Linked DNA regions of Tamandua tetradactyla. Each later gene encodes a partner of the first gene's protein in a complex. Links are inferred from orthologs where the notes say so. Each region holds a gene or a part of one and is shown in the gene's direction. Other genes may lie near its edges. The genes, in order: MAPK14, MAP3K20, TAB1 and NOD2.

Evidence for each region.
Region 2: MAPK14 (region 1) and MAP3K20 share a complex: the UniProt entries of both Homo sapiens proteins name them as parts of the signaling complex. The link is inferred for Tamandua tetradactyla from reciprocal best matches to the Homo sapiens genes MAPK14 and MAP3K20.
Region 3: the proteins of MAPK14 (region 1) and TAB1 are in contact, whole or in part, in a crystal structure (PDB 4LOP), measured with the Mus musculus proteins. The link is inferred for Tamandua tetradactyla from reciprocal best matches to the Homo sapiens genes MAPK14 and TAB1. Residues at the interface, in NP_036081.1 of Mus musculus: Gly110, Ala111, Asn115, Ile116, Cys119, Gln120, Lys121, Leu122, Thr123, Asp124, Asp125, His126, Phe129, Val158, Asn159, Glu160, Asp161, Cys162, Leu217, Thr218, Gly219, Arg220, Thr221, Leu222, Asn272, Val273, Phe274, Ile275, Gly276, Ala277; in NP_079885.2 of Mus musculus: Val385, Tyr386, Pro387, Val388, Ser389, Val390, Pro391, Tyr392, Leu405, Ser406, Leu407, Val408, Met409, Pro410.
Region 4: MAPK14 (region 1) and NOD2 share a complex: the UniProt entries of both Homo sapiens proteins name them as parts of the signaling complex. The link is inferred for Tamandua tetradactyla from reciprocal best matches to the Homo sapiens genes MAPK14 and NOD2.

What each region holds. Positions count from the first base shown.
Region 1 is NC_135331.1:92,713,696-92,721,726, forward strand, and holds the start of MAPK14 (mitogen-activated protein kinase 14), read left to right. Parts: upstream 1-4,942; 5' UTR 4,943-5,403; coding exon 5,404-5,519; intron 5,520-8,031. UniProt on the Homo sapiens protein: Serine/threonine kinase which acts as an essential component of the MAP kinase signal transduction pathway.
Region 2 is NC_135329.1:144,878,880-144,886,638, forward strand, and holds the start of MAP3K20 (mitogen-activated protein kinase kinase kinase 20), read left to right. Parts: upstream 1-4,547; 5' UTR 4,548-4,604; coding exon 4,605-4,711; intron 4,712-7,759. UniProt on the Homo sapiens protein: Stress-activated component of a protein kinase signal transduction cascade that promotes programmed cell death in response to various stress, such as ribosomal stress, osmotic shock and ionizing radiation.
Region 3 is NC_135333.1:31,924,067-31,931,473, forward strand, and holds the start of TAB1 (TGF-beta-activated kinase 1 and MAP3K7-binding protein 1), read left to right. Parts: upstream 1-4,121; 5' UTR 4,122-4,242; coding exon 4,243-4,275; exon of another isoform or gene 4,276-4,736; coding exon of another isoform or gene 4,737-4,748; intron 4,749-7,407. UniProt on the Homo sapiens protein: Key adapter protein that plays an essential role in JNK and NF-kappa-B activation and proinflammatory cytokines production in response to stimulation with TLRs and cytokines.
Region 4 is NC_135342.1:44,463,600-44,471,943, forward strand, and holds the start of NOD2 (nucleotide-binding oligomerization domain-containing protein 2), read left to right. Parts: upstream 1-5,220; 5' UTR 5,221-5,288; intron 5,289-8,344. UniProt on the Homo sapiens protein: Pattern recognition receptor (PRR) that detects bacterial peptidoglycan fragments and other danger signals and plays an important role in gastrointestinal immunity.

The sequences.
Region 1 (8,031 bases):
GGAGCAATATAAACATTCTTAATAATCTATGTTTTTGTAAAAGCACAAACTAAAATTCTTTAAAATAAATGTGAAGTACATACACATTACACAGCTATAAAATATACAGGTAAATACTCAAGTTATGTACACAAATAGTTCTTTATGGGTGAGGCTATAAGCAAGTTCAATGTACCAGTAACTTGGTTTTCCTTCAGGATGATCATATATCATCTAAACTGGGAGAAAGGAGTAACTTTAGTGTTGAGGCCACCAAAAAAAGGTTGAGGCCTATTCCTGGAGGGTCTTGAAGGCTAGGTTGAATCTGAATTTTGTTTCATAGCTATTCGAAATGCTTGAGCAGGAGGAATAGTATTATAGGGATGCAGTTTGGGAAGGTGAATCGTGTCCGTGGAATGGTCTAGAGCTGTGCTGTCCAGTATGATAGCCACTGGCCACGTGACCATTTAACTTTAACCTAATTAAAATGAAACAAAAAATTCAGTTCCTCAGTTGCACTAGCCACGTTACAAGTGCTTAGTAGCTACATGTGGTTAGTAGCTATCTTGGTGGACAGCTCAGATATAGAACATTTTCATTATCACAGAAAGTTCTATTGGAGAGCACTGGAGATAGGAGAGACTGAGGCAAAAAGATAGTTGGAGACAATAATACAGTAGTCCAGGGAAGACCTAATGAAGTCATAAGCCTGTGTGGCCACAATGAAGATGGCAAGGAGGGGCAAGTGGAAAGCTATGAAGCTGGCTTAAAAGGACCTATCAAGTGATTAGCTAAAAGCAGCGAGGGAAAACACATGATCATGATTTCCTTTAGTCATTTTTGTTTTATTCCCCTCTGGAATTTCTCCAGCTCAGTTATATCTTTTGTGATTTCATAGAAACCCTTATGGCTTGTTTGCATGCATTAGCAAGACCTTCCCGACAAGATAAGCAGACCAGAGGCTATTACCTACAAGTGGCAGATGCACTTTGGTGTGAAATTTGGCAGATGCATATTTCAGAAAAAAGAACCCAAACCACAATGATGGGATGATGATGTTTCAGCTAAGACAAGGAGGGTGTCTCTGTTAGCGACTCTTGAAAATCTCTGTCTAATGAGGCCACTGTACTCAGTGTGATCAACAGCATGCTAAAGCTTTACCCATAATCTTAAAGATCAGTGTCCACTTAGAAAACCATTCCCTGATGCTCTCTGCCATCAGACGGAATAGTTAGGTGGGTAATGCATGGGTCTCAACTACCTAAGCTTTCATTTTCTTATTCCACAAATATGATGTGTTTCCAGTATCTGGATTAACTCTTAGAAGTGAGAAATTAATCTCTGCTAATGAAACTTAGTCCCTGGACAAGTAGCATCAGTATCACTTGGGACTTTGCTAAAAATGCAAATTCATAGGCCCCTCCTAGACCCACTGAATCAGAAACTCTGAGGATGGACCCAGCAATCTGAACTTGTAAGGAGCCCTTCTGGTGATTTTGATATACATTAAGTATGAGGAATGCTATAAATATAGCCAATTATCTTAAGCCCTTCTTCCAGGGCTACATGAGCACTTTGGACTGAGCTCCTTCTCCCCCCATATTTGTCCCTTCCATCTGTCTATCCCTTCCATCCATCCCTCCATCCATTTGTTTACATAGTCTGTGTTCTGACTATTTTAAAAGTCAAGAACATAATTGAAATACTACCCAATTTTCTATTGACCCAATTCATATGAAATCCTGAAACCTAGTTCAGTTGCAAGAACATCTTTTCTCTGATATTGTCATCTATCATACATTCTCTATAATCATGGGAAGGCAATTTCATCTCCAAAATAAAAAAATAAGCATTTTTAATTCCATGTAAAACAGCTCTTGTCAGCCTAAGTTTTTATAGGAAATGTATTTGGAATATAGAAAAGGCACAGGCAAAGACCATTGTCTTTTAGTACTTTCAATGCAACTCTCTGACTAGTGACTGGCGACATAAAGAGGAATAATAAGACAGTGGCAGCAACCCTTAGGAGCTTACCATCGGACATGAAACCACTTTTAATGCAACACAATGGGTAATAGTAGTGGGTGTAGGGGCATGACACTGTTATTAGAGTAGGGTTGTTAAGAAAGCTTCAAAAGGGGGTACACTGAAGGATAAAAAAGGATCTGACAGGAAGAGAAAGGCGCAAGAGTGAGGGAGATCAGTCAGAAGAACCCAAATGAACAAAAACAGTGAGATCTGAAAGGACGCAGCGCTTCTGGGCAGGCAGGATGCAGAAAACGACTGGGGTGGAAAGGTGAGGTGCAGGAGAGGACTAATTCGGGGGCTCCTGACAATTCAGACAAGAGACTTTGAAGGGATTCCCCTTGCAAAACGCACACATCGTCTCTTGTCATTGCTATCCAACGCGGACTTCCAAAATAGAGATAATACTTCTGAAAGATAAGCTCCCATATATTCATTCATATATTGACTGAGGGTGCACGACGTGCCTGGCCTCGCCAGGGGACTTCGACTTGCAGAAAGCGACGATCCCTCGCCCACAACTTGCAGCTCCGAGCACTCGGCGTCTCTGTGCAGCCGCTTACCTGGTTCCCCGGCGAGGGCGGGTGCAGGCGCTGGGGTCCACCCAACTCAGGCCCGGCTGGCGGCGCTGCCGCGGCGGACGCCGGCGGTTCCTGAACCGTTGCCGCCGAACCCGCGGGAGTTCTGGGCGGGCGGGGGGAATGGGAGCGGGGGTGGGGATCCGCACCAGAGAGGTACCTGGGCCATACTTAATTCATTAAGTGAATTAACGAATGTGAAGCGAGGAGCATGAGGCCTGGCACAAATAGGCCTCCTATCAAGAATAGTGAAAGCTCGAGGCGATCCTAGGTTCCCATTCATTTAAGGTTTTATTCTTAATGGAGGGCTTACTTGGTGCCAGGCCTTATGCCCTTCACTTCACCTGTATTAATTCACTTAAATCCCGGGTCAGAAGAGTTTCGGACGGTAACTCACAAGCCTCCTGTCCGCACTGGAGAAAAGCACCCGCCCGGTTGCACCTGTTCTTCTGATCTGCACACACACACACACACACACACACACACACACACACACACACACGAGCGCGCAGGCACACACCCCTTCTGTACCCACCCCTTCAATCTCCCTTCCCAGTCACCATCTTTCACTATTCCTTGTATTTCTGCTTGGCCCTGTTGCAGTTTTACATTTGTTTGTCTCATTACCGTATTAATAGTTGAGTTATTATTCATTTTGTAAATTGTTTCACCTCATTTACAAAATGAGGTATCATCAGTGCCTAGAACAGTGAAGTGCACATAGTAAGCCTCAATAAAGTTGGGTTGAATGATTGAAGGACTGCCTTGCTGTTGATTGTAAATTCCATGTGGGCAGCAATGGTGTCTGATTTTTAATCATCTCTTTAATGAAAATGGCTGCCACTTAGTAGGCATTCAATATGCATTTGCTGAATGAGTGAATATATTGGTCACTTCGTCTTTACCGTTTCAATCACCCCCACTCCATCATCTCAGTTTACTGGATAAATATATGAATGTCTTAGGATTCTTACTTCCAAACCTCCCCATCGTTTCTTGCATCCACTCATCCTTTTGATGACCCACTCCCACCTTTCATTTCTCCACACTCATATTTTTGCCTTCACTCCCATTTTTACCTTCCATTACTTGTTAGAAAGTTCTTCGACCTGCAGGTTGGCCTGTTCTCAGGCAGTGTATCTTCACAGGCAAGAGAAACCAGGAGAACACAGGTTGAGTGCAAAAGCTTTTTCCTCAGATCGTCTATGACCTTGTTTTCCTGTTTTTTTGTTTGTTTGCTTTTTAATTTAGTTTTTCTTGAAGAGAACTGAGGACCCTGCACCATCTCCTAAATTGAGATCATGGCCATTTTTCATATTTTGTTAACCAATATTTGTGGAGTGCCAGGCAAAGTCTGAGCTCTCCAAAGGATGCATAACACAAAAGAGAATAATCATGAGGAGCGATGAGAAGCAGCCTGGTTTGGCCCTAGTTATGTCTAAGATAAATTCTCCTGCTCTTGTAATAATTTTGGCATAGGAACAGAACGCTAACTGGGGACAGGCATGGATTAGAATACCTTGCCCATTCACATTTATTAACCTGTTTAACTCTTACAAATGACCCGATTAGGTGGGAAGTAGGGCAGGAATTCTGTTTTGCAAAAGCTGGAACTAAGGTCTAAGAAAGGTCAATTGACTTGCCTAATGTGTTGTGGCAATGCGCTCTGTTGTCCAAACTGAGAGGCATGAATTATATGCTTAAAATCCTCTTCACTGGAACGTTCTTTAGCGTAGGAGTCAGTTTCAAACCCCGAAAAAATGCTTCTCAAAGGGAGTTGCTGGAGACTTTCCTGAATTAGATCCACCCAAGGTATATATACGGTAAAAATGATCACGTCGGACTTATTTAAACAGACTCTGGGTGGGTCCTGGGAATCTGCATTTTAAAGCAAACTTCCACAGCGATTCTTCTGCACACAAAAATTTTGGGTGGAAATTCTCAGCCTTGATATTTGCCCATAAAACAGATTTCTTCAGAATGCAGAAAAGTAAACCAAACTGTCCCTGAGCAGATGGGAATATAACTGTTTTCTGGTCAGAAACTTTCTCTTTTTTTATGCAGTTATTTCTTGGAGATCGGAGGTTCCGCTGAGCAGTCGCTCGGCTGCTGGTGCCTACACCCGTAGTCCCAAGATCTTTTGACCCTTTTCCCGACACTTTGTCCCTGTCACTTTCCAGCACCAGGCATTTCCCCCGCCGACCACAAAGAGGCGCACGTGGCAAGTACTGCCAGTCGCTCCACACCTTCCCGGTCCGCCTTCGCGCTCTTAAGCGAGACCAGACGCTGGGAGTTCTTGCCTCCCGTCTCTAGTTGTTGCTCTCGCGATAAGTGCTCTTCCCGTACTCTCTCCTTATGAGCCCCCTCCCGCGAGCATGTTCCATATTGGGTAAAATCTCGGCTCACGGAGTGTCCCGGGAGCTGTTCTCGCGAGAGTGCGGCGGGAGGCTACTGAAAGCTGGCTCTGGATCCGCTACCACAGGACCCTCAGCGGGCGCTGCAGCTGGAGCAGACATTTGGGCGTCGCTGCTTGGAGTCGGCCTGGTCGGGGAGAGGGTGCAGGGGGACTGCGGCGGGCGCAGCCTTGAGCTTTGGAGTGCGCCCTATCCTTAGTCAGGCTCGCCCGGGTTTCTGCAGCGCGTCCAGCCTCTGCGGGTGACAGGGGCCGCGCGCGCTTGTCGGTGGGGCCGCAGCAGCCGCACCTGCGCCCGCTGCCAGCGCGGGGTCCCGGCCGGGCGGGCAGTGAAGGCCGGCGAGCGGGTGCGGGCGCAGACGGGGGCCTCACTGGGCCACCTCCTCGCCTTGCGGCCGCCGCTGGAAGATGTCTCAAGAGAGGCCCACGTTCTACCGGCAGGAGCTGAACAAGACAATCTGGGAGGTGCCCGAGCGCTACCAGAACCTGTCTCCGGTGGGCTCCGGCGCGTATGGCTCGGTGTGGTGAGTATTCCCGAGCCTGAAGCCGCGTTGAGCAGGGATGGTCCCTCACGCCCAAGGGTCATGCCTACACGGCTCAGCGATGAGCCAAGCGGTAGGAATTTTCCTACGGGGAGGGCATCGCTGCGCATTTGAGTCCTTTTCTGCACCCCCTGCCCCTTACCCTGCACACCCGGGTTGGTGGTTAGCCGGATGCAGGACGCAGGTTCGCGGTGGGGTGGGGGTGGACAGAGCGGCGCCTGGAGCTCGGCCCTGGTTCCCCTGTGCGTTTCTTTTTGGAAGGCTGCTGCTCTGGGGTCTGGGACGGTGGCGGGGGTGAGGACTCTGCTGGCGTCAAGCAGAGGAACTCTTTCGGGGGTGCTCCCATCCTAGGGCGCAGGAACAGGCCCGGTGAACGAACAGCTTGGGGAGCTGCAGAGAGCAGCAGAAGGGCAAACCCGACAGGTGGACCGCAGTCATCTGAACAAAACTGACGAAGAAAGAACCCTCCCTGGGCTTTTTTTTTTGCAACCCTCTGTCGAAATCCCGTTTTGAGAAGCCTTCTTTTTGAATTCGCACTTGAATTAACAGCGACCCATAGAGCTTAAAATACTGACTTTATCTCCACCGTGCCAGCTTGAGTGGTGTGTTTCCGATTCGGTTGAAAGCGTATTTCCTCTCCGCCAAGGGGGGTGGGGTGGGGTGATAGTGCCTGCAGGAACACTGCATTTTAAGAAACAGGCCGCCTTAGTGGTTATTCACATACCATTGCTCATTTAAGTATTGTTTGACAAAAGTTTTTTCTTTTGGAGTAAGTGAGATAAAGGTCCGTTGAATGCCCTCCAGATGAAAAAGTTATTAACAGTGTTGGGAAATGTTATAAATATATTTAAGTTCGACAATTTTTGCAACTACAGGTTTTTTTTTTAAAGTTCCTTATGGAGAGTTTGCAGGAACTTATCCACATTTATGACCTGAGGTACATGATGATCTTCATAAGAATAAGGAACATACAGCAAAGGAAGAAAGAGACACTTGCAAACTCTAAATTTACAACCGGAGCGTGTTTTAAATTAAATTAATACCATAAAATTTCCAGACCTGAAATATTTCAGTAACTTCTCTTTAATTTCCAAGGATTCATTTTAGGTTTACTACGATTTCAGAGCGCCTGATCTGAAACTATCAGATTTAATTGTTAGCTTTAGTAATTCATGTCCATGGATCTTTTGAAAAAAGACCTGCAAAGTTATTTTTCTTTTTAGGAACAAATTCCAGATTTTTGAACGTGTTAATCTCTAAATATGATTCCTGTGTTCCTTAAAGCCACATCATGAATTTCCTGTTTGGTAGAATCTTCTGAGTAATTGAGATTGTGCAATTGTGAGTAACAACAGATCATATTGCGTTTCCTAGTTCAAGCTGCTTGAATTATGTTGCAGATGTCACCATCCTTTGACATCTTTCTCCCATTTTTACAGTATGGCAGTTAGCATTTTAAAATAATTTGCAGCATTTAACGTTCATTATATATATTTCTTGTTCATTTCCTAGTTTTCAAAGATGTATTTGGATCGTTGCTTCTTTAATAGCTCATAGATTTACTTCCATTTTTACATTCTTGAATTGATTCACTAATTTTTGTAGTATTGTTTTTGTTTCCAATGATGTTTAAGCTTTTAATGATGCAAAAGATTCACATTAGCTAAAGGAGTTTAGCTGAAAAGAAAGGTTTCGTTTTTGTGTGTCTCTGCAATGAAACAGGAGATTCAGATTTACGGTGAAATGTCCTTAAAATGAGCTCCAAATTTCTTTAGTACTCTACTTTGCTGGCTTATAGAAGCCACCAGTACCTGGCATCTGGAAGTAATTTTGTTAAACAGGTTTAAAAATAAGTAATACATTTACATTGTATAAAATTCAGAAGACATAAATGATACTCGGTGAAAAGTTTCTTTTCCTTTCTTGTTCCCCAGCCTCCCTGTTCCCTTCCCCAGAGATAACCACTGTTAAGTTTCTTGTGTGTCTTTCAGGGAGGCAGAGTTTTTCATTTGTTCTATTGTTTGTTCTGTCAAGGGGATTTAAGATGCAACTTAGAATATATTGGTGGGGAAAAATAAAACTGGAATTATATGAAAATTGACTATAAACAAATGTAACTGATTTTAGACTGAAAATGCCAGAATTAGTTTCATAAATGAATGCTTTCTTAGGCAGGGTAGTTACTTGAAGTTGCTCTTTTAGTTAGCAACTTTTCCAGTGTGACAGAAAAGTTTTTGGGAAATTTCTTAGAATCCACTTTGGTGCCTATGTAACTTTCTTCCATCCTCCTCCCTTGAGAGCAGATTGGATTTTAAGGACTAGTTAAAAGTCAAAATATATTCAAATAATTTAGGGGATTTGAATTGAAGACTGGTGAAAAAATTAGGCAGTTAGATTGGTGATACTGTTTTAGGTGAGATAGGAATTAAAACTGTAAAGTAATGACACATTTTGTTAGGCTACTTGTAGAACTGGACCTGAAGTCTATTTCAGA
Region 2 (7,759 bases), on another chromosome or scaffold:
CTACATATATGTATTTCTGTATCTATACACACACACATACAGAGATATGTGATATATATATCATAGTGAATTTTGTTCACAACATTTTGTGCGTGTATGCATGGGCCAAGAATAACCCAGGTCTCCCACATGGCAGGCAAGACTTCTACTGCTGAACTACCATGCCCTGTAATTTCCTTTAATGTCCCTCAATTAAAGCCCACTTAGGGCAATGCTAAAGCAGGCAAATGCCTGTCTATGTTCATGTACTTAAGGCTTCAAGTCTTCAAGAGCAGGGGTTTTGTTTTATTCAATTTTACGCTTCCCACCTAGAGTCATGCACAATGCCTGGAATTTACTAGAAAAAATTTTAAATGTTTATTAAATAAATCTTTCTGAAGTCATTATTGTTCACATTTCACCATGTCATAAACCTCAATATCTGCTGTAAAATTTTTGCCATTATATATTTTTCCTCTTTGAATGATTTTCAAAGGTTAACAAATGAAGCTGATGGTCCATTCCTTGGGCATCCTTCCTCTAATTAAAGAATTGCTTGTTTGCTCCTACCTTACTGTCAAGCCAGCCTCCTATTTATGACAGTCTCCTTCCCCCAATTTGCTGGCAATTGACCCTTATGACCTTATTTTAGTTTAGTTTTAACATCATTCAAAATTAATACATGTTCCCCCAACTATGTTCCCCTTGGTCTTCTAAAGGAGAATAACTATTGCTGCCTTTACTAAAGATAAGAGATTTTAATTATGTCTGGCTTCTTTGAAAATGCATTAAACTCCATTATTCAAGGTAGTGATGGAGAAGTAAAAGAATTCACACTCTAAAAATATAGAGTAGTAGCCAAGCAACCCTTCCTGAGGCAGGAGGTGCAGTTAATATTTTAAAACTTGCAAACAAGCCAGAAGAAAATGAGATACCTACAAGGTCACAAGAAGTATAATGAGGTTTGCTAGAAGATGTGAAAAAAGAAGAAAGAATGTTTTTACCAAAAGCATCTGTAGAAAATTATATATTTAAGTGATGAACATTCTTGCTTAGTAAGGTCACTGGCGGGTGTATAGGAGCTAAGATTTTCTGGCAATTTTGAATGCCTTTCAGGTTAAATAGGCTTTTCCTGAATTCAATAGCATTTCCTTCTAAGATATGAATGCAGATCAATGACTACTAGTGTGAGAAAATTAAAAAGAAGTGTCATTATCGTTTCAAATTGTGCTTATAATTCAAAAAATCAGCATAGAATATGCAATGTGGCAAAATGAACCCCTACTTTGAATAGCTTTTCTTTTGCTGTCAATCTAAAATGTGTTAAATCTCTTGCTTCTGAGTATCTTAAAGAAGAGAATGGTGTTAGATGAGCAGGTCACAGCTTCTCTGATTTATAAACTGGTGAAGAATCATTAACTTAATTAGTATTGTTGGTTGTCTTTCCATGCATTCACTCATTTATCAGCAAATAATGACAGAGGTGCTAAATGAGTACCAGGCTTTCTGTAAGTTTGGGATTCAATGGTGAGAAAAACTAAACAAGGTCCCTGTTCTCCTGAAGTTTATCATCTAATAGGGGCATCATAAGATTAATCAAATAATCACACAAATATAAATATAGAAGTGCTTCAAGGGATACACGTGGTGTTATGAGAGCATATCATAAGGGTATTTGACTTGATCTAAGGTGAAGAAATGTTACCCGTGGAAATGGCAGTTGACCTGAACTCTGAGAGATACAGGTGCTAAGCAGAAAGAACAGGGGAATGGGTTCTAAGCAGGATAAGCCATTAGCCATTGGCAGTATGATGGACTGAAAACTCACCACGGCAGAGCAGAGAGAATATGGGAGAAAGTGGCATAAGATGTGCTGGAAGAGTTCAGAAGGGCTCAGAGTTCACAATGCCTTACAAACCTTTTTTAAGGACCTTTATCTTTAATCTCAAAGCAGTGGAAGTCTATTACAGTGCTTGAGGAAGTAGGGTGCTGTGATCAGACTTTGATTTCTGATAGTTAGCTTTTGGAGGGCACAGCCACTACTTTATATTATCACACTGTCTACCCAAAGTGTACTCTCTAATTCTTTAATTGAATGATTTTATTATCCAGGCACAAAGGCAGGGCAGAGGAGTTGTAGAGTGCTGCAGTATTTAATACTGCAAGTATTAAAAAGCAGTGGTGAACTCAGATAGCAACACGCAGTCAAACGCCATCCTTCCTCCTGACTTAGCCCACACCAGGCCATATTGGACGTATCCCGTGTCTACCTGTGCCACCCCCTTGGAAAGTTAGGCTGTGTATGGCACGGCTGCTGTGAAAAAGCAATGGTTAGTGGACCCAGGGCTCCATATGTGGAGGTCCAAACATAGAGTAGAGAAGGCTCCATTTGCCACTGTGCCCTCAACTAAGCCACATCGGCCCACGTGCAATCACAGTCCAGAAACCTTTGTCTATTCTTGCTAGCCTGTTGGTTGATGTATCAGAATACTGTTGCCTGTAGTCTGATGTTAAAGGGTGGCGGGGGGGGGAATTTTAGTAACCCCAAGAGAATAAGGTCATGGGAATGGGAGATGTGTCTGCCTTGGGCTCCTTTGCATATGTCTATCAAGCAGTTAGGGAAGGTCAAGGATACTGCTAGAGCAAGCCAGGATCTTTGTCTCCAGGCAAATACAAATTTGGAAAGATGGGGAACAAAGCTTTACCACAAAGTAAAGTGAGTACAAATCACTGAGGGTTTGTGGGCACTGGCATGGATTCACCCTACAGGCTCAAGGAAGAGATGGAGACTAGGTAGAACACAAGAGAAAACTGGAGCAAAAGTTGGTAGAAAATTCTTCAGAACAAGTTTTTTCAACACATGAGACCAAAAGAGGACTAGAAGAATCCTAATAGCTACCCACCCACCTCCTTAGCCAAAGACAGATGGCAAGAGTATCCAGGGTGATAAACACAGGGAGAATTTGCTGTTGTCAGTTTGGGGCAAAAAGTGTGAGGGTCAGATTCTGATGGTTCAGTCTTGGTGAGGAGACAAGCAGCTTTAGGATGAAGAAAGGGGTTGTTCAGTGGAATGATTAATCACATCAGTGAGTTTATGAGTTGCTGAATAACAAACTACCCCCAAATATAGTGACTTAAATAAACAACCATTTATTTAGTTCATGAGCCCATGGGTCAGCTAGGTGTTTTCTTCTAATCTGGGGCAGACATTGCTGCTCTGGGATGGGCTTATACACCTGCAGTCGGCTCACTAGGTGGTCTTGGGTGGAATGGTTCATCTCTGCTGCACGTACTCTCTCATCCCTCAGTGGGCTAGACTGGGCTTATTCACTGGGTAGCTGGCACGGGATCTGAGGGAATGAGAAGATAATCAAGAGCTCTTGAGGCCTAGGCTTGGAACTGGTGCACCATTGCTTCTACCACATTCTATGGGCCAAAGTGGGTCAAGAGACCAGCCCAGATTCAAAGGGTGGGGAAATAATTCTATTTGTTGATGTGAAGAGATGCAATGTCATGTTGCTAAGTTATGGACACAGGAAAAGAGGTAACTGCAGCCATTTCTGTAAACTGTCTACAGAGTAAAGGAACCACACATGGCTGGACAGTCTGCTGCCCTTCTTTGGGGAGAGTTTTTCAGGGCCTGGTGCTGCCAGATGTTTAAAGTTTTTCTTCACAGAACAGGGAATATAGTACTTCTTAGAGAAGTAGCATAAAATAGCAGAAAGCATATAGGCATTAAAATCTGACAGATCAGGTTTTGAATCAGTCTGGGGCACCTCTACCATATGCAGAATGTTTGTGTATGTTGGGAAAAAACGCTACCCTTCTCTCTATTGGCACAGTCCCACTGGAGACATCCCCTTCAACCAGGCTTCCTTGTGTATTCTACAGCCCTGTATCAATGCTTATGGGTAGCCCTCAGCTGTGAACTTTGGCCAATGTATTTAACTTCTGTGAGCTTCCACATCTGCAAATGGAAATTGGAATACCTCCCTCACAAAGGTTATGGTGAAGACTGAGTTAAGGTATCTAAAGTGCCCAGCATACTGAGTGCTTGGAGCTCAAGAAATATTAGTGTCTTTTCTTCCTTTCTGCTTTGAGAGACCACAGCAAAGCATACTTTAAAACATTCAAGGACTCCTGAGAATCTTCAGCCAAATCAAGTATGGAAGGATGGAAAAGGAAAGAAACTTATACAGGTGCTTTGACACCAAAATGGGATGGAAGGTTAGTTCCATAGGCCTGTATGACACATGTGGTTAGTATCCCAAATTTGGGTTACATGCAGTTTTGCAAAGTTCTTGCTGCAATAATTGAGCCAGGATATTGAATTTTGTATATATATGTGCTGGTTTTGAATTTGTGGACCCCAGAAAAGCCATGCCTTTTAATCCTCATTCAGCATTGCTGGATGGGAGTTTTTAAATTATCCATGGAGATGTGACTCACCCAATTGTGGGTGGTAACTTTTGATCAGATGGTTTCCATGGAGGTGTGTCTCCACCCACTCAAGGTGGGGTTGCTTACTGGAGTCCTTTAAGAAGGAGGCATTTTGGAAAAAGCTACAGAGTCAGCAGCCTGAGACCTTTGGAGATGAAGAAGGAAAATGTCCCCAGGGGAGCTTCATGAAACAAGAAGCTGGGAGAGAAAGCACGCAGATGCTGACAAGTTCACCATGTGCCTTTCCAGTTACGAGAGAAACCCTGATTGTCATCGGCCTTCTTGAACCAAGGTATCTTTATCTGGATGCCTTAGATTGGACATTTCTATAGGCTTGCTTTAGTTGGGACATTTTCATGGCCTTAGAACACTGGACTGGCAACTTAATAAATTCCCCTTTTTAATAAGCTGTTCTGTTTCTGGTATATTGCATTCTGGCAGCTAGCAAACTAGAACAACACACAATAAAAGTTAATTGCAGTGGGACAGAAAATATTTTAAATGAAAGAGGGAGGAGAGGTGAAAATAAATGTCCCAGACTTCTCTTACCAACATTTAAAATGTTCATATTTGAAAGAGTAGATCAGAAGCTAAACCAAAGGATAACATACATTTTTTATACATAGGTCACATTAGAAAGTAGATTTTAATCTAGCCTGGCTATTCATTTAGGTGTTCAGTCTGTGTAGCCTAGAATCAATTACACAGTGTTGTGAGATCCCTCCTAAGAAAGTAGCTCTTCATTAGTAGTTCTAATCTTTCCTCCAACTAATGTTCACAAGCCATTATAAAAACCATTTTTATTTCTGGTCTCAGGAATTAAATTGTAGGTATAAACCAAAGTGTACATTAAATTAGGGATTATTACCTGTGGTACTCTATGGGAACCAGGTGATGCTGGGTCATTTTAATTAAGAATTCATTTTCAATAATAGCACAAGCAAATGAATAACATTAAATCAACACTGAAACAGCTGGAGAGGGATGGGGTAGATTATGGGAATAACCCAGAGACTCAGTTGTTTCATAGACTTAATGTGCAGAGTTCACTTGTGTATTAGGAAAAAACATCTAAGGAACAACTATATAAACTCTCTATAATAGGGGGCATAAAAATCTTTTAAGCACCAAGAGAAGACGATTGCTGCAAGAAAAAAAGAAATTCTGTACTTTGATTTAATACAGAGTTTTAAATACAATGTTTTCTGAATGTTGACTTTGTTGGAAGATAATTTTCTGGGATATACTGATTCAGTAATTGGAGCTTTTCACCTGTCAGCTCAATGGCCATGTATTGAACACACATTATGTACCAGATACATACACCCAGTATTTTGTTTTGAATACCTGAAATGAATAGTCTCACTATTTTACTGATGAGGAACTACCAAGAGAAATTAAATATCTTGCCCAAGGTCATATGCTCAGATTATGGCAATACTGGGATTTTTGAACCAGGTATATCTGATTCCAAAGTGCATTATTAACAACAAGGTTACACTACTTGCCTCTCTTTTTGTCACTAAGAGAATTGATTATGCAGACTTTTGATGCCACAAAATAAAAATAATAGAAAAGAGTTCAGGAATCAAAGCATGAGATTAATTTTGCTGAAATATTTTAAGCAAAATTAAACAAGAGATCTGAGATGCTTTTCTCTAAAGTCTTAACTCTCAGAATAGAAGTTGGTGTGTGTGCATACATATAAATCCTCATCATAAATATCCGACATATCATATGCCATATATCAGATATTTCCATAAGAAACCTTTATTTTCACTACGCACGAATCTTGAAGCACCATGTAAAGTTTTCTAGTCACCATAAAGAATCCACTCCTAAGCAGGAAAGAGCATCAGTTGTATTTAAAATGCTTTATCCCTTAAACTGAGTGGTTGGCCTATCGATTTTCATATAATTCTCTATACCTTATTTCATTAGAAAAATGGCTCTACTGAAATCCAATATGGATTTACAAATATTTTGTAGAAAAGATGAAGAAGGGGGTTTCATTAAAGAACCCCACAGTATTTCATTTTTAAAAATTCTCATTGGACATATCTTCTCTTCTTCCAGATCTTTCTTCTTTGCTATCTGTACTCTGTTCTCCTCTTTCTACTCCCAACTTCCCCCACTCCCTCAAGTTTGAAGATTATTCTTGGGTACCCTAAACTTGCCTCCTTTTTCACACAGACCATTTAATTTTCTCAGAGCTTCTATTTCAAACTTGAAAATCTCCATCTTGGCTGAGGATTAAAATATTGTTTACACTGAAAAAAACAGAAGACCCTTCTGTTACCAGGATCCACTCTCCTTAGTAGAGCAGTATAAATGAAAAAAAAAAAAGTTATAATAGAACATAGGGAAAATAGTCTTATTTAAGGTGAAAACTGACTATAGTTCCTTCTGCCTCCTAAGGGTGGATGTCATAATCCATATCATTCTTGAATATAAATAATCAACAAATGACAGAAATGTCTGAGAAAACTAGTACTTTAAAAGAAAAGAACAAAGAAAAGTAGAGAAAAGCTGACCCCAGAAGAAAGAGAAATAATTCAGGTAACTGAATAATAATATTAGGAAATTTATAGCATGTGAAAAATGATCACTAATAATATGAATAGCTAATTTTACTGAATACTTACTCTGGGCAAGCCCTGTGTTACACACTGTACCTATACTGACTTTTCCTAACAAAACCCTTATTATAATTCCCATTTCACAGATGAAGAAACTGAGACTTAAAGAGGCTAACTAACAATACACAAGGTCACATAACTCATAAGCAGTAGATCTGGTCTCAATCTAGATCTATCTAATTCTTTTTTTTCCCTATGCTATACTGCTTTAATCTTTGTTTTAAACATTCTGAAGTCCTCATTAACATTTGTCCTGGGTCATCAAATCATCAAATTTTCATGTAATAAGATGATTCACAGTTCATCCTGACTTGCTTAAGAATCTGGGAAAGGATGAGAATTTGAATTTGGTCCCCTTCTCCATATACATATACAGAAGGCTACCAAGAAGCTGAAATCCAACCCAGGACTTCAACGATAACTGTGAATTTCATTCTGTAGCAAGGTGACTACCTTAAAACTTGTTGCATCCACATTAATCAGGACCAGAAATTTGCTGACCATCTATAGATATATGTGAGGCAACCTCCCCCAGGGGCTGGGGATGTTAGTCATAGACATCAAGCTGCGTAATATGACACACTGAAACCTGTTAGAGGGGTTTATTTAACTAAGTTGTGTAGCAAAGTGATCCAGATAAACTGGTTGTATAGACAGGAGGAGGCTGGCTAATTTAGGTTGAATTATGATTACTCAACTGG
Region 3 (7,407 bases), on another chromosome or scaffold:
TCTTATGCAAGTTTCAGTTAGATAGTGCAAATTGGCATGGTTTGCTAAACCCCAATCAACATCACTCTTGTTGACTCTTAAGAACACCTAGGGCTTGGACCAAGAATCTATAAATGTTTCATGCGCTAGGTTTGCCTTTCTGGAACATATAATTCCCAGGGGGTTCCTAGGTCAGCTAAATCCTGAAACTCAGAAGGACCAGCCTCTCCAAGATTAGCAATTAATTTCATCCCCATATCTTTTAGTGTTGACATCCCTTCTCAACATGGAAAAGTTAGAATGGGCATTGCCCAAAGATCCCTATATATTGAGAGAAGGATTAAAGAAGGAGAAGGTATAACAGAAGAAATGGGATTTAACAAACAAGTATGGCTGCTGAATTACTATATTAATATTCCTTCTAGCCTCCAGTGTTTTGGAGCAGTTAGAAGAAAAAAATCTGAGATAGTGGAATGGTAGCCCATGCCAAACTCTGGGATCTGTTCTGTAACTACTTGTTGACATGTGCTTCGAAAATTATTGCTTTTTTTCTTTCTTTGCTTTGTATATATATTTTTTTCAATAAAAAAAGTTTAAAAAAATGGCCCTATATATGCTCAAAGAGCTAAAGGAAACATGGACAAAGGAAATCAGGAAGATGATAGATGAACACAAAGAGAATATAAATAGGAAGATGGAAATTATGAAAAGGAGCCAAACAGAGCTGAAGACCATAGTAACAAATTAAAAATTGCCTAGAGGGCTTCCATAGCTGATTGGAGCTGGCAGAAGAATGAATCAGCAAACCTGAAGATAAGACAATTGAAAGCATCCAGTCTGAGGAGCAAAAAGAACAAAGAACAAAAAGTGAACAGAGCCTGAGGAAGATGTGGGACACCATCAAGTTGCCATTATATGCTTTGTGGGAGTCCCAGAAGGAAAAGAAAGGGACAGAGAGAATATTCAAAGAAATAAAAGTTGAAAAAATCCCACATTAAATGGAAAAAATGAATATACACATCCAAGACATTTAGTGAACTCCAAATGGGTTAAACCTAAAAAGACCTACACTGTTCCAAATTATCAAATGTTAAAAATAGAGAATTCCGCAATTCTGATTTCTCATTGGAAACCATGGAGGCAGAAGGCAGTGGGAGGACATACTTAACGTGCTAAAAGCAAAAAAACTGCCAACCAAGAATTCTATATCCAGCAAAACTATCTTTCAAAAATGAGGAAGAGGGTGCGTGGATGGTTCAGTGGTAGAATGCTCACCTTCCACGCAGGAGACCTGGCTTTGATTCCTGGATCATGCACCTATAGGGAAAAAAAATTAGGAAGAGATTAAGACATTGCAAGATAAACAAAAGCTGAAGGAATTGGTCAGCACTAGATCAGTCCTACAAGAAATATTAAGAGGAGTTCTGCAGGTTGAAAGGAAAAGACACTGCATAATAGGCTGAAGCCACATGAACAAATAAAGATCACTGGTAAATTTAATGACATGGGTATATATAAATACCAGTACTATTATATTTTTAAATTTGTAACTACATTTTTAATTCCTACAGGATTTAAAAGGGAAATGTATAAAATGTAATACTAAATAAATGGTTTTGGATTCGTAACATATAAATATGTATATGGGGGAATGGAGGGCTATAGGAACATAATTTATGTGTGTTACTGAAGTTGGGTTGGTATCAAATCAAAAGTGGTTGTTATAGATTTAGGATGTCAAATTTAAGTTCCATGGTGACCGCAAAGAAAATATCAGAGAACATGCAAACACAGAGACAGAAAGTAGAATGCAGGTTATCAGGGGTGGGAGGGCAGGGGCAATGGGGAGTTAAGGAAAAATTATTTCAGGTTTTCTGTTTGGGGTAAAGGGAAAGTTTTAGTAATGGGTGGTGACAAAGGTTCTGCCATAGTGTGAATGTGATTACTCCACTGAATAATAAGCCTGGGAGGGGTTGGGATGGGAAGATTTATGTTTTATATATCTTTCCACAATTAAAACAAAAGAAAGAGAAATTAAAGAGAAAATGACAATTAAATGCAACACATGATATTGGATGGGATCTAAGAATAGAGGAGAAAAGACCCAAAAGGACATTATTGAGACATAAGAAAAATTAGAATATAGAATGTAAGCTTCATATCAATGTTAAATTCCTTGAACTTGATAACTGCACTTAAGGTGATTACGTAAGTATCCTTGTTTGTAGGAAATATACATGGGAGTGTTTTGGTTCAAGGAGTACCATGTGTACAACCTATTCTCAAATATTCAGAAGATAAATAGATAACAGATAGGATATAAAACAAAAGTAGCAAAATATTAAAATTGGTGTATCTATGCATCTGGGGGCTAGGGGTATGTTGGAATTCTCTATATGGGGTTTGTATTATTTTTGCAACTGTCCTGTATGTTTGAAATTATTTAAAATATTCTTTAAAGTTTTTTAAAAAGGGAAGGGAGAGGTGATGCTTGCACATAAATATTTGTTTAATTAAAAAGTCCATGACTGAGCATGGACAAAATGGCTGGAGCCCTAGCAGCTATTTTAGGCCATGTGATGCTACATTGGTAGGACAGTGAGATGAGCCACCACCACAGCCCTGGATTGCCTCCCACTCTTTCTCGCTTCTAAATCATCAACTCTTCTCTATTAAGCCTTTTCTTTAGCATTTAAATAGGCTCAAGTTTCTCCAAATGTAAAAGAAAATCTCTCCCTCCATTCCCTGTCCCCTTCCCATGTCCTCCTTCTCTGACTCTTCTTCACCTTTCACCAATTGGGAAGAATCACCTGTTCTGAAGGTTTCCACATCTCTATTTCTCAGCCATTCCTTGACTCACTGTTTTGGGGCTTCTGTCCTACCATTCTGCGTGAATTGCCTGGGCCAAGGTATTCTGCACTGCTAAATTTAATTGATTTTTTTTTTCAGTTCTCTTCTAACTAGGTCTCTCAAAAGCAGGGCCTCCCTGGACACTCCTCACCTTGGCTTTAGTGTCACCTTATGCTCTCCCTAGCTTACTGGCCGCTTGCTCTCTGTTGTCTTTGCCAGCTGAGCCTCTGCTCTGAGCTCTTGTCCTCTCTATCCAATGATTGACTTGACTTCTCTACCTGCGTGTCTCAAAAGCACTTCAAATTCGACATGTCCAAAATGAACTCATGTTCATTACCTTCTTCCTTCCCCCAAACCTAGCTGCTCTTGCAAGGAATCTGGGAGACACCTTTGAAACATCTCTTCCCATGACTACCCACAACCAATCCATCTTTAGGCCCTTACAATTTCATCTCCTAAATAAAATCCACTCACTGCCGTCAGCCAATTCAAACTTCTAACATTTCTCACCTAGAACTCTTACAACAGTCCTCTACTTGGGTCTTCCTGCTTTGCTTCCAATCAACCCCCCTAAAAATCCATTTGTACACAGTAGTCAAGGGATCTTTCTACCAATGGGATCTTGTCACTGTCTTGCTTAGAAGTTGTCAATGACTTCCTCATGTCTTCTGGGTAAAAAGCCAAACTCTCGCCTGGAGCCTGCAATGGTCACGGCTTGACTACCACCCCTTCATCTCACCCTCCTACACCTCCGTTCTCACCCCACACATTCTGGCAACTCCTTTCCTTGGAGCTTTTGTACTCGCTGTCCCATCTGCCTGGTCGGCCCTTCCCTGTTGCCAGTTAAAGCCTATTCCTCCCTCAGAATTCAGCTCAAGCGGGACTTCCGCAGACTGGATCCTCGTCAATACTCCCACGCTGCTACCCATAAACTTCTTCCAAATTCTTTAGCACCATTTGAAATGCTAGCTCCTTGAGGGTTTGTCTTTCGCGGTGCGGTCATCCAATGAGTATTTGCTGAATGAATGAATGAACTCCTGCTCTTCATCCCCGCCCCCCCGCCCCCTACTCCTGTCTCATTGCGTTCATAAAGAATCCTAATCCGGGGCTTTAGGAATCCCACCTGAAAGGCGTTCTGGAGAAAGTGAGCAAATAAAGATGGGCGAGAGGCAATCACTTAAGGTAAGTGACCATCTTTGCTACATGTTATCTCCCTTTACCTCTCAGAGAGAAAAGGTGGAAGAGCGCGCCTGCGTATACGCCCCTCTGCAGTCCCGTCCCACTTCGGCCGTGAGGTGGCGCTGGGCGCATGCTCCTGGCAGCGCGGTCCTCCACGCCTCCTGCAGGCCACTCTAGCCGCCTATTTCGCCTGCTCTGCCGGGAAGCTGGCGCGTCCGCGGGGGTCCCTCCAAGATGGCGGCGCAGAGGAGGAGCTTGCTGCAGAGTGTGAGGAACCGATCCGCTCTCCGGGCCGAGGGTTGGGAGCCCGGGAGGGGGCCTTTCCGGTCCAGGAGCGTCTCCTCTCCGCTTTTGGACCGCCTCCCTCTCCCGGGCATGTTATCGCCGCCTTCCTCTCTCCCAGGGCTAGCCCCCCTCACTCTTGAGGTCGGGGGTACGCGTTGCGTGCGCGACCCCGTTCGGCGAAGGGAGTCCCGCGCCTGCGCGCTGCTGGCCGGGAGGTTGGGGTGAGGGGGTGTTCCGGGCTTCCCGGTCCCAGCGTCCCCTAGCGTCAAGGGTGCCGGGCTCCTCACTGCGGGGCGTCGAGGGTGGAAGCGTTCTCCCAGCCCGAAGAGAAAGTCCGGGTCGTGAGGCCACCCCGGCACAGAGTAGTTGTGCAATGACAATAATGCCAGCAGCACCCACTCATAAACTGCTTACTGTACTCCAAGCAGTGTGCTAATTGCTTCATGTTTGAAAATGTAAGTTTCATAACAGCCCCATGGAATTAGTGCTGTTCTTCCTGCTTTACAGATGAGGAAACTGAGGCACAGAGAGTTGGTCATTTCCCCAAAGCCACTTGGCTGATAGGTGGCAGAGGCAGGATTCAGTTGATTGCAGAAGCCCTTCTTATCCTCTAGGCTAGACTGAAGGAATGACTGGGATAGTGGCAACCTGGCTTCTAGTCCTGGCTCTGACTTATTGTATCCTTCCGTCTCAGTTTCTTTATCTGGAAGGTAGCATGGATGAGATTCCCATCTGGACACCCATGGGTTTGGTACTGATTTTGCCTCAAGCCCCTGCATCCTCCTAACATGCGTGCACAAATAGGTGCACACGTGTCCGCACCACAGACCTATTTTGACCTATCAGAGTTGAGCCCTGAACTCCTGGGTCCTCTCAGCTGTGGCACTCTTGTAATTGCTTCTGGATTTGTCTGCTTCCGGTACTAGAAAGTGAACTTGAAGACCGGGACTTGTGGTCTCTTGCTTATCATCATGTCATTAGGACCCCATTATGTGCCAGGCACGCAATAAATATAATGATTAAAGCATTTGTAGCCAGGCCCAGTGCCAAGCTTTGGCCTTAGAGATGCATTAACACTCCCCTCCCCCCACCCCGGAAGGAATTGAGGGTGGGGTGACCTTCACTACTGTATACTGAGAATTCATGTAGACTGTCTGGAAGCAGTCTTGAAGTTGCTCCCCCAGGAAACCTCCCCAGGTCTCCCTGGTGGGGATAATGCTCTTCTCCTCCACAGTCCTATATTTTACTGCTGCTCCAGTTGGTAAGTTAGGCCTGGCATCTTCTACTTTGTAACCTCCTGGAGAGTAGGGGCCCCTTATGAATGTTCCCATTGTAATAAGCATTCCCAAAATGCATGCTGGATTGTAGTGTTAAGAGAATGGTTTATAACTGATAAATTCTGCAGGCTGGCTTGGATTTGCTAGGAGAGAGTGGCTGTCTGGGTTGTACAGACGAGGTTGGCTGCCAGCTTCTGTCCCCTCTAGGCATGATGGAGACCAAGGGCCTTGGGTTAGATAGAAGGCACGCTTTATTAGCTCTGGAATGTATTTCTGGGGGTGGTTGTAGAATCTTTCCTGGTGCTTTTTAAAGATAGACTAGTTAACTTTAAATATTTGTCAGGGTGATGAAAGCAAGGGGGTGTCAGGGATGTCCACACAAGGCCCCTTCTACCCTCTTTTACTCTGATGATGAGCAGCTCATCTCTGCTGTCCACAGAGGAGAGGGCCAGGTGGAAGATGGGGCTGCTTACCTGCCCTCATGTTGTCCTGAATCTGTGCCTGGAGATCTGAAGGTGGAGTAAGATCAAGTGTCGACCTTCACCATATTCCTAGTCCAGCTTGGGAGAAGGAGCCAAATGCTGCTGAGACAGTGTGTTAGGTTCTCTGGTGTCAGTGTGAACATGTGTTGGGAGTCCTGCAGAGGCAGCAGAAAACTTTAAAGTCTTTAAAGGAGGGTGGGAGTTTTCCAGGCAGAGGAAAAGGGAGACATTCCAAGAGGATAGTACTACATGTTTTTGTGCTGAGGGGCTGAGATGTGGCCTAGTTTGACCAGGTCAGAGTGGGCTTGCAGGAAGGGCAGGGCTTGTGGGAATGGCAGGGGAGTTGCTGTCAGAGGGCTGGAAGAGTGTACGGAACCAGGTAGCAGAGTATCTGGTATCATGGAATGTGGTCCTGAGGAATTTCACCTTTCATTCCCAGCTAGTGTGGCACTTCAGAAGGTCTTTGAGCTGAGTGTGCTGTGAATAAGTGAGAACATACTATTCATTCCTCCAGCATCACTGAGCACTGTTATGTGCAGGCACTGCAGAGATGCAAAAGACACTACCCTCAAGGAACTTTCTAGAATGTAGACAACAAACGGTGAACCAATATAGCTCTTATATGATAAGAGAATATCTACAACAGTGTAACATCAAGAGGTGCCGTGAGGATTCAGAGAATGGTGGAGGGGCCATTTTGGACAGGGATGACCCGATGAAGTAGCAGAAGCAAGCCTAATGGATATGGGGGGTGTTCCTGCCTGAGGAAGCAGGGGGTGCAAAGGCCTGTCTGTTTGGAGGCCACAGGGCTAGAGTGGAGGGTGTTGAAGGGTGGGAGTGGGTAGTGGTAGGAAGATCCTAGGGAGCTGGGGGCCATATTGGGCCTTGCGGGTCCTGATAAGGACTTTGGGTTCCATTTTAAGTATAATGCAAAGGTCTTGGGTGGTTTTGAGTGGTTTTGAGCCGGGTCTAAATGTGATCTAACTTTGATTGGAGAAAGACCCCTCTGTTGAAAATAGATATTCGAGAAGTGAGGCTGGGAGACCAGGGCCTGCAGGGGGGCCTTTACTAGTTGTCCAGGTTCAGGATGGTGGTGGCTTGGCCCTGGGTGGAGACAAGAGTGTTGAGAAGTATCACATTCTGGCTGAATTTTGGAGGAAGGGCTGATCTAATATGCTGATGGTAGGATATGGGTGCAAGACAGAGAAAGAGAAGTCAAGAAGAACTACAAGGTTTGGGATTGAACAACAGTAGTACCATTTACTAAGCGGGGAAACCCTGGAGGGAGGAGAACATTGGGGCAGGAACTGATCTTTTCTTTTTTTCCTTTGACATTTCTTAAGCAAACATATCTG
Region 4 (8,344 bases), on another chromosome or scaffold:
ACCAGGAGCTGTAAGGAAGCTTTTGCAGCTGAGTGGGTGTGGAAGTAGGGGTAGTAGGAAAGCCATTCGTTTACTCATTCATTGGGCCTGCGTGTAGAAGGGTTTGGACTCTGGTCGGTGAGGGGTAGGGGAGAGGCCCATTGAGAGCTGCTTGGAGCAGGGGATCGACATGGAGACTGTCACCCAGTCAAGTCCGAGGCAACCACCTGTGTCGGCAGCCGGTGGCACCTGTCAGGGTTCTTTCAGCTTGCACCTGAAGGAGACAGTCCAAGCTCCTGGGGGCAGCCCTTGCACACAGGCAGCCGGCATACCTATTCTTCCACCAGCCTCCCCATCCAGTAGAATTTTAAATGTCACAACCCAGAAGGTGACTCCCAGTGAGGAAGGGCTCAGGCCTGGGGCTCCTGGAGACTGTCCCCTTGCTTTCTGAGCACTACCTGGTAGGTGACCAGGTCAGGGCACTCAAGTACAGAAACACCACCAGAGCATCCCTACTGCCTGCCTTTGGCATGGGACCCTGCAGGCAGGGAGGTGGTAATAAAGGCTTCTTAACCCACTGAAAAGAAAGCTTTAAAAAATTATTATACAAGCAATATGGGCTTATTAGGAAATATAAGCTAACAAAAGAGAATTTAAACAATCTACTTACAATCCAACCATAAATTTTGAAGGATAGTCTTTTGACTTTTTAAATGCATGTATTCATAGATTTTATTACAGAAATAAGAGCATGCTGCATGAAACATTTTTGCAACTCACTTTTTTTGTATTGACATATAATTCATATGCTGTAAAATTCATCCTTCTAAAGTGTATAATTCAGTGGCTTTTAGTATATTCACAAGGCTGTGTAACCATCACTATTATCTGACTCCAGAACATTTCATCACCCCAAAAAGAAACCCTGCATCCATTAGCAATCACTCCCCATCTCCTCTCCCTCCAGCTTTAGCAACCACTAATCTATTTTCTGTCTCTGTGGACTTGTTTATTCTGGACATTTCATAGTTATGGACTGTGCAGGTTTGAGAGGATGTATGCCCCCTCGAAAAGCCATGTTGTAATCTAAATCCCATTTCCTAAAGGCAGAATAATCCCTATTCAGTACTGTATGTTTGAAACTGTAATCAGAGCATCTCCCTGGAGATGTGATTTAATCAAGAGTGGTTGTTAAACTGGATTAGGTGACGACATGTCTCCACCCATTTGGGTGGGTCTTCATTAGTTTCTGGAGTCCTATAAAAGAGGAAACATTTTGGAGAATGAAAGAGATTTGGAGAGAGCAGAGAATGCTGCAGCACCACGAAGCAGAGAATCCATGAGCCAGCGACCTTTGGAGATGAAAAAGGAAAACACTTCCTGGGGAGCTTCATGAAACTGGAAGCCAGGAGAGAAAGCTAGCAGATGATGCCGTGTTTGCCATGTGCCCTTCCAGCTGAGAGAGAAAGAACCCTGACTGTGTTTGCCATGTGCCTTCTCACTTGGGAGAGAAACCCTGAACTTCATCCCTGGATGCATGCCTTTGATTGGACATTTCTATAGACTTGTTTTAATTGGGACATTTTCTTGCCCTTAGAACTTTACACTAGCCACTTATTAAATTCCCCTTTTAAAAGCCATTCCATTTCTGGTATTTTGCATTCCGGCAGCTAGCAAACTAGAACCTGGACCATACAACATGTGGCCTTTTGTGTCTGGTTTCTTTCACTTAGTGTAATGTCTTCAAGGTTCATCCCTGTTGTCACATATATCCAAACTTCATTCCTTTTTAGGCTGACTAATATTCCATTGCACGGATATATAACATCTTGTTTATCCATTCACCCGCTGATGGACATTTGCTTCCAGTTTTAGGCTACCATAAATAATGCTACTGTGAACATTCATGTACAAGTTTTTATGTGAACCTATGTTTTCAGTTCTCTTGAGTATATACTTAGGATTGAGCTGCCTGGTCATTGGTAAGTATATGTTTAACTTTTTGAGGATTTATCAAACTGTTTTTCCAAAGTGGCCGCACCATTTTACATCCCCAGCAGCAGTGTATGAGGGTTTCCATTTTTCCACATTCTTCCCCACATTTGTTATTCTCTGTTTTTTAGTATAGCCATCCTACTGGATATGGAATGGTATCTCACGTGGTTTTGATTTGCATTTCCCTATTGACTAATGACATTGAACGTCTTTTCATGTTCATTTGTATATATATATATATATATTTGATAAACACCTATTCAAATCCTTTGCCCATTAAAAAAAATTGGGTTACTTATCAAAATTGCTAAGTTGTAAGAGTTCTTTATTCTAGTCACTAGATCCTTGACTATACGACTTTGCAAATATTTTCTATCATTCTGTGGGTATCTTTTGACTTTCTTGATAATGTCTTTGAAAGATAAAGTTTTTAATTCTGATGAAGTCCAATTTATTATTTTTTCTTTGATTGTGTATGCTTTAGGTGTCACAGCTGAGAAACCATTGCCCCATCGAAGGTCATGAAGTTTTACTCCTATTTTTTCTTCTATGAATTTTCCAGTTTTAGCTCTTTTATTTAAGTCCTCAACCAGTTTTCAGTTAATTTTTGTATTTGGTGTGAGGTAGGGGCCCAACTTCATTCTTTTTTATGTGGCTATCTAGCATCATTTGTTGAAAAGATACAATCTTTCCCCATTGAATATCTTGGCACCCTTTTCAAATAGCAACCCATTTAGAAAACTGATATTATATTATGGCATCTTTCCATGCTAATGAACATATATCTATAAGCATCTTTTAAAAATAAAGCTTTATTGGGGGTGCAAGGGTAATTTAGTGGTAGAATTCTCACCTGCCATGCAGGAGATCTGGGTTTGATTCCCGGGTCATGCACTTTCCCCAAACGAACAACCAAAAACAAGCCAACAACAAACAAACAAAAAAATTCAACAAATGGTGCTGTAGTAACAGGATACTCACATGGAAAAATAATGAAATGTGACCCTGCCATACAACATACCAAAAAAATAACAATAATAAAGGCTTATTGAAATATAAGTAATACAAAGAAAAGTGCAAACACTGTAAGTGTTTAGCCATGAATTTTCAGAAAGTATTCACACCTGTGTAACTGCCACTCAGACCAAAATACAGAACATTATTTGCATCCTGGAAGCTCCCCATGCCCCTTCTCAGTCATTACCTCCACCCCATGGTAACTGTTATCCTGGCCCCTACCACTTAGTTTTGCCTGCTTCTGAACTTTATACAATTGATAACAGATGGTAAGTATGCCTTTGCATATGACTTCTTCTACTCAACATTTTGCCCATGAGATTCATTGGTGTTTTTGTGGGTTGCAGTAGTTCATTTGTTATTACAATTACTGCATTGTTTTTAGGACATTCATTCAAATATTTATAGCTTACCAGGTCCTGTTCTAGACCCTGGAATAAGGAAACGAATGACGCAGAAAGGTTCCTGTTTCAAGTCCCAGCGGGGAGAGATTGACAAAGAAAATAAGTAGGACATATAGTGTGTTATATGGAGATAAGTGCTATGGAGAAAATTACAAAATGCAGGGAAAGGGATGTGGGGGGCAGGTCGCAATTTTGTAGGGGAGAGCCAGAGAAGGCGTCCCTGTGAAAGTCATATTTAAGCAAAGACCTGAAAGAGGTGGAGGAGGCAGCCACATGGATTTTAGAGGAAGAGCATTCCAGGCAGAGGAAACAGCAAATGCAAAGGCCTGGAGGTGGCCGCAGGGTTGGCACATCCCAGGAATGTCCGGGAGGCCCACGTGGCTGGAGCAGAGTGAGCGAGGACAGGAGGATTTGGAGAGGTCACAGGGTGACAAATACTGACAGTAGGACTTGGCTTTGACTATGAATATGAATGAAATGGAACCATTGGAGGGGTTTGAGCAGAGGAGGGACCTAATTAGCCTTTTTTTTTTTTAATGGACTCTGGCTGCTGTGTTGAAGAAAAACTATGGTTGAAACCATAGAGAACTGCTAGGAGTGCTTGCTATAATCTGGAGGAGAGATGATGGTAATTTAGACCCAGGTGGTCATGGTGGACATGGTAAGAAGCGGCTGCATTCTGGATCCATTTTGAAGGTCAAGCTGAATAATTTTTTCCTAGGATGTGGGGTAGCAGAGAACACATGGCGATTGAGTTCTCCAGGTTCAGAGGCTCCGTCGTGTCCTTTAAGCCATCTCATAGGATTGGACATTGAGGTTTCCAGCCTTTCACTGTTAAGGGCATCCTTGTGGGTAGATTTGTCCCCCATCTGGAATGATTTCCTTGATGAAAATCAAGGAAAGAATGAGTCTTTCGATTCAGCATTTCCCAGCCTCAGCCCACCGTGCCCCACTTGTGCAGGTATTTACCCGGAAGCAATGCAGGGCAGTGTTTTAGAATACACTCTTTGGTCTAGACACCTTGGGGGCAGGACGTGGCTCTGCCGTCACAACTTTGAAATCTGGGATAGGAGAATGACTCTGTGTTTCAATTTCCTCATCTGAAAATCTGGGATTTTAATAGTTCACTCTGTGAATCTATGTAAAGCCTGGCACACAGGAAGTGCTATATACATGTTATTTTCATTATTTTTCTTGAAATTGACTTCACATTTTTTAAAAAGCCAGATAGAAGTGTATAAAAGGAACATTGATATTCCTTACTTGACAAAGTAGTGTCACTTGCTCTGTAGAATAGGAAATCAAAAAATAAATAGACTGAAAACAAGACAGTGCTGTTAGCTTCTGGTTTCATATTGCTGCAGCGACAAGGAGACGAGGCTGTGTTCTAGAAGAGCTCAGCCCTACTAAACTAAACTGAGACCTCTCTCGCCAACTTACAAGGTGGAGAGAAAAATGGAAGGTGTGTAAACCATCACGTACCTACAGCATTGTTCTGGGAACTTCGCAATTTTAAGACTTTCAAAAACTGGATTGACTAGTTCCCCCAAGGATGCACAGGTTAGTATAACACCAAAGGATGTCACCGCACGTGCGTGTGTCTGTGTTTTGGAGGGTGTGTGTGTCCCGAGAGACTTGTCTCCGGACTCCCTCCCAGCCACTCTCAGGTCTCAGGTGAGTTCCTGGCCCCCCGGGACGCGGGCGCTCTGGGGCGGGGAGCGGGTGTGGCCCGCCTGGCAGCGGCGCGGCGGGCGGGGTGCCCGGCAGTGGGACGGGCCCGGGGCGGGGACACGGCGGGGCGGAGCCGAAGACCCGCGCGGCGGGAGCCGGAGCCAGAGGCGGGAGACGCTTCCCGAGCCCGGGCTGAGGATTCGGGACGCCGGCGGCTCCGCGGTGAGTGCTCGCTCCGGGCGCGAAGTCTGCTCCGGGCGCGAAGTCTGCGCCCAGCGCCCAGGCGGCGGGGAGACAGTGGGCGCCGAGTGTCCTGCCCCCTGGCAGTCGGACGCCTGGCTTCAGAGCCGTTATAGTCGCTGGATTTGGGGAGGGTGCGCCTCGGTTTGCCTTTGAGGACTCCCGGGGTATACATGGGGGACAGAGAAAAGAGAATGTCTCAAGGTTGGGAAGCCACCTGGTGGGTTGTGGATACAGATGATGAGGAGACTTGGGGGCATGGGTGGGACTCACCACCTCCCAGGTTCCCTGATGTCTGGAGAGGGTGCTTGACTTGGGGGTCACCAGAGTAGTGGGGACAGAACCTCTGAGTTGTGAAGTCTTGAGGCTCTGGGCTGGGAGTGAGGAGACCAGACACCCAGCGTCTCAGTGGGATCACCCTTTGTAGTTACCCTTCTTCACTCTGGGCCTTAGTTTCCCCATCTTCCCATACCTGTGAATGGTTGGGTGTATGTGGGAGAGTCTGCTTGGATAATCTCTAGCCCCACCTCTGGCCCTATAAATATTATGGGGGCTCCTTCTTCTTAGTTTTCCCAGTTCACCCCCTATCCCCACTCCATCTGCTGCCCAGCACCGCATCCTCTGAGTCATTCGCTCTCCCCACTGCAGCCCTCTTGTCCTTCTTACTTGCCAACAAACTCAGAAAACTCCCCAGGTCCCCTCGGGCGGCATCTTCTGCAGCTGGCTGAGGGCTGGTAGCTAGACCCCTGGCTCTGAGGCTGCCCTGGGCCTCTTTCCTCTGTTTGGGGCCCTTTGGCTTCTTCCTGCCCTTTGCCTCAGTTTCCCCAGGGGCTGGCTCCTTGAAGAGTCCTTATTCCATAGAAGGGAAAAAGCCTGCCCTGCCGCCCCTCCCCGGCGCTTGGTGAAGACCAGAGTGGCCTTCCATGGCCTCTGCTCCGCTGCCTGAATCGGTCTGCTGGGGACCCCAGCGGCCCCTGAGTTTGCTGGTTACTCAAGGCCCCCTTTTCCTCTCTACATGTTGGAATTTGAAGGTGGAAGGAATCTCCTCTAGCCCACCTCCCTCCCACCCAGGGCTGAATGCCTGCAGAGTGCTGGCCCAACCTCTGTTGCGTCTGCCTGGTGACAGGGACCTCATTGCTTATGAGTCCTGCAGTTCTCACTACACTCAGCTAAAGCCCAGGGCTTGCAGATCCCCCTTCTTGGCTCCACTTCTGCCTGCTGGAGCCATACAGAGGAAATTTATTCCTTTATTTGAAAAATCCTGATTGATGCATTGTATGAGACATGGGGATAGAGTAATGAAGAAAATAGACGAAACTGTCTGCCTTCATAGGGTTCACATTCTCGAAAGCAGTCAAAAGCAATCAAATAGGTGAATGCATAGTATGTCAGGTGGTGAGAAGTATGCCATGGAGAAGAAAGCAGGGAAGGATGATGGGGTGGGGTATTGCAGTTTTATGTAGCCTAGTCAGGGACTGTCCCTCTGAGATGGTGACAACTGAGCAAAGCCTTGATGGAGGTGAGGGGTGAGCCATGTCAATGTCTGGGGGAGGGAGAGTGTGCCAATAGAGGGAGGAGCATGTGCAAAGGTCCTGAGGCAGAAGCCGGTGTGTCCAGAGCTGGGTGGATGAGGAACAGGTGGGGGGTTAGTAGGAAACGAGTTCAGAAAAGTAAGGGTTGGTGTGTGTGTGTGTGTGTGTGTGTGTGTGTGTGTGTGTGTGTGTGTCCATAGTGTATGGCCCTAAAGGTCACGGGGAAGATTTTTGTTTTCACTTGATTGCAATGGGTGTCACTGGAGGAGACACTTGCTCCGATCTGGGGTTTCACAAGCTCATCTGGCTGGGGGATGGAGGATAGACTGTAGAGGGGTGAGGGCAGAAGTAGTGGACCAAAGAGGTCTACTGCCATTATTCAGGGGAGAAACCATGGGGCCTGGAAAGAGGTGGCGAGCAATGATCAGATTTTCTGATTTGGGATGTACTTAGAAGGTAGGTTCGATAGGATTTGGGATGCACAAGGAGGGGTGGGAGTCAGGCTTTTGGCCTGAGCGCCTGGACATTTGGAGGTATGGTCAGCTGAGATAGGGATGCCTGTGCCAGGAGCTGTTTAGGGAGAAGAAAGGAGTTTGGTCTGGTACTTGCTAAGTTTGGGTTGCCTATTGGACATCCATGTAAAGAGGTCCAGTAAGCAGCTGGGAAAAGTTGAGGCATGTGGGGGGAGCAAGAAATGAAATTTGGGGTGCCAACACACAGTGTTAGTAGGTAAGCCATAAGAGCAGGGGAGCCCACTTAGAGAGCGAGGGATGGGAGAAGAGGGGTCTATTCAGGGACCCCTGGACTAGCACTAGGACTGAGAAAGAGCAGAGGGCAGTGTCCTGGGCTCTAAGGAGGAACGTTCTTCAAGGAGGAGAGGACAGTAATTATGACAAATGCCTTCAGCAGAATGAGCAAGATGAGGGCTGTGAATCGAGCAAGGTGGCGTGGCTGATGACTTTGACAAAAGCAGTCTCGATGGAGTGGTGGGGCGAAAACCTGATGGAGGGGAGGGGAGATGAGGACTGGGATGCAGTGGTAGAGGCAGAGGACAGGAGGCCTGCTGTTAGAAGAACAGAGAAATAGGGTTGTAGCAGAAAGGGGAACGGGAGAGGCTTTACATTTTGAGAGGGGAGAAATGACAGTGTGTCTGTGTGCTAATGTGGAATGACAGCCTGGGAAGGGGGGGACCAGAATGGGGGATGGCTGGGAGTGGGGCGAGAAGATTGGCACCAGCTTCCCAGGAGCTAAGAGCAAGGGCAGCTTCCCTGGTCCTCCCTTCCTCTCCTGCTGCAAGACCAGGAGACTGGGGTGTCAGTATGTAAGCAGAGCGTGGGCCCCAGAGAAAGCCTGGCCCTGCTGTGGTCTCTGGAAGGAAGGAAGTATCAGAGCTCAGAACTGGGCCAGGGGACAAGCTTGACCCTGTGTTTTGGCAAAGAAGTATGCCTTTCTCCTAGAGAAAAGGACAATAGTGGCTCCAAAGTTGTCATGACTGAAGTAGATAAG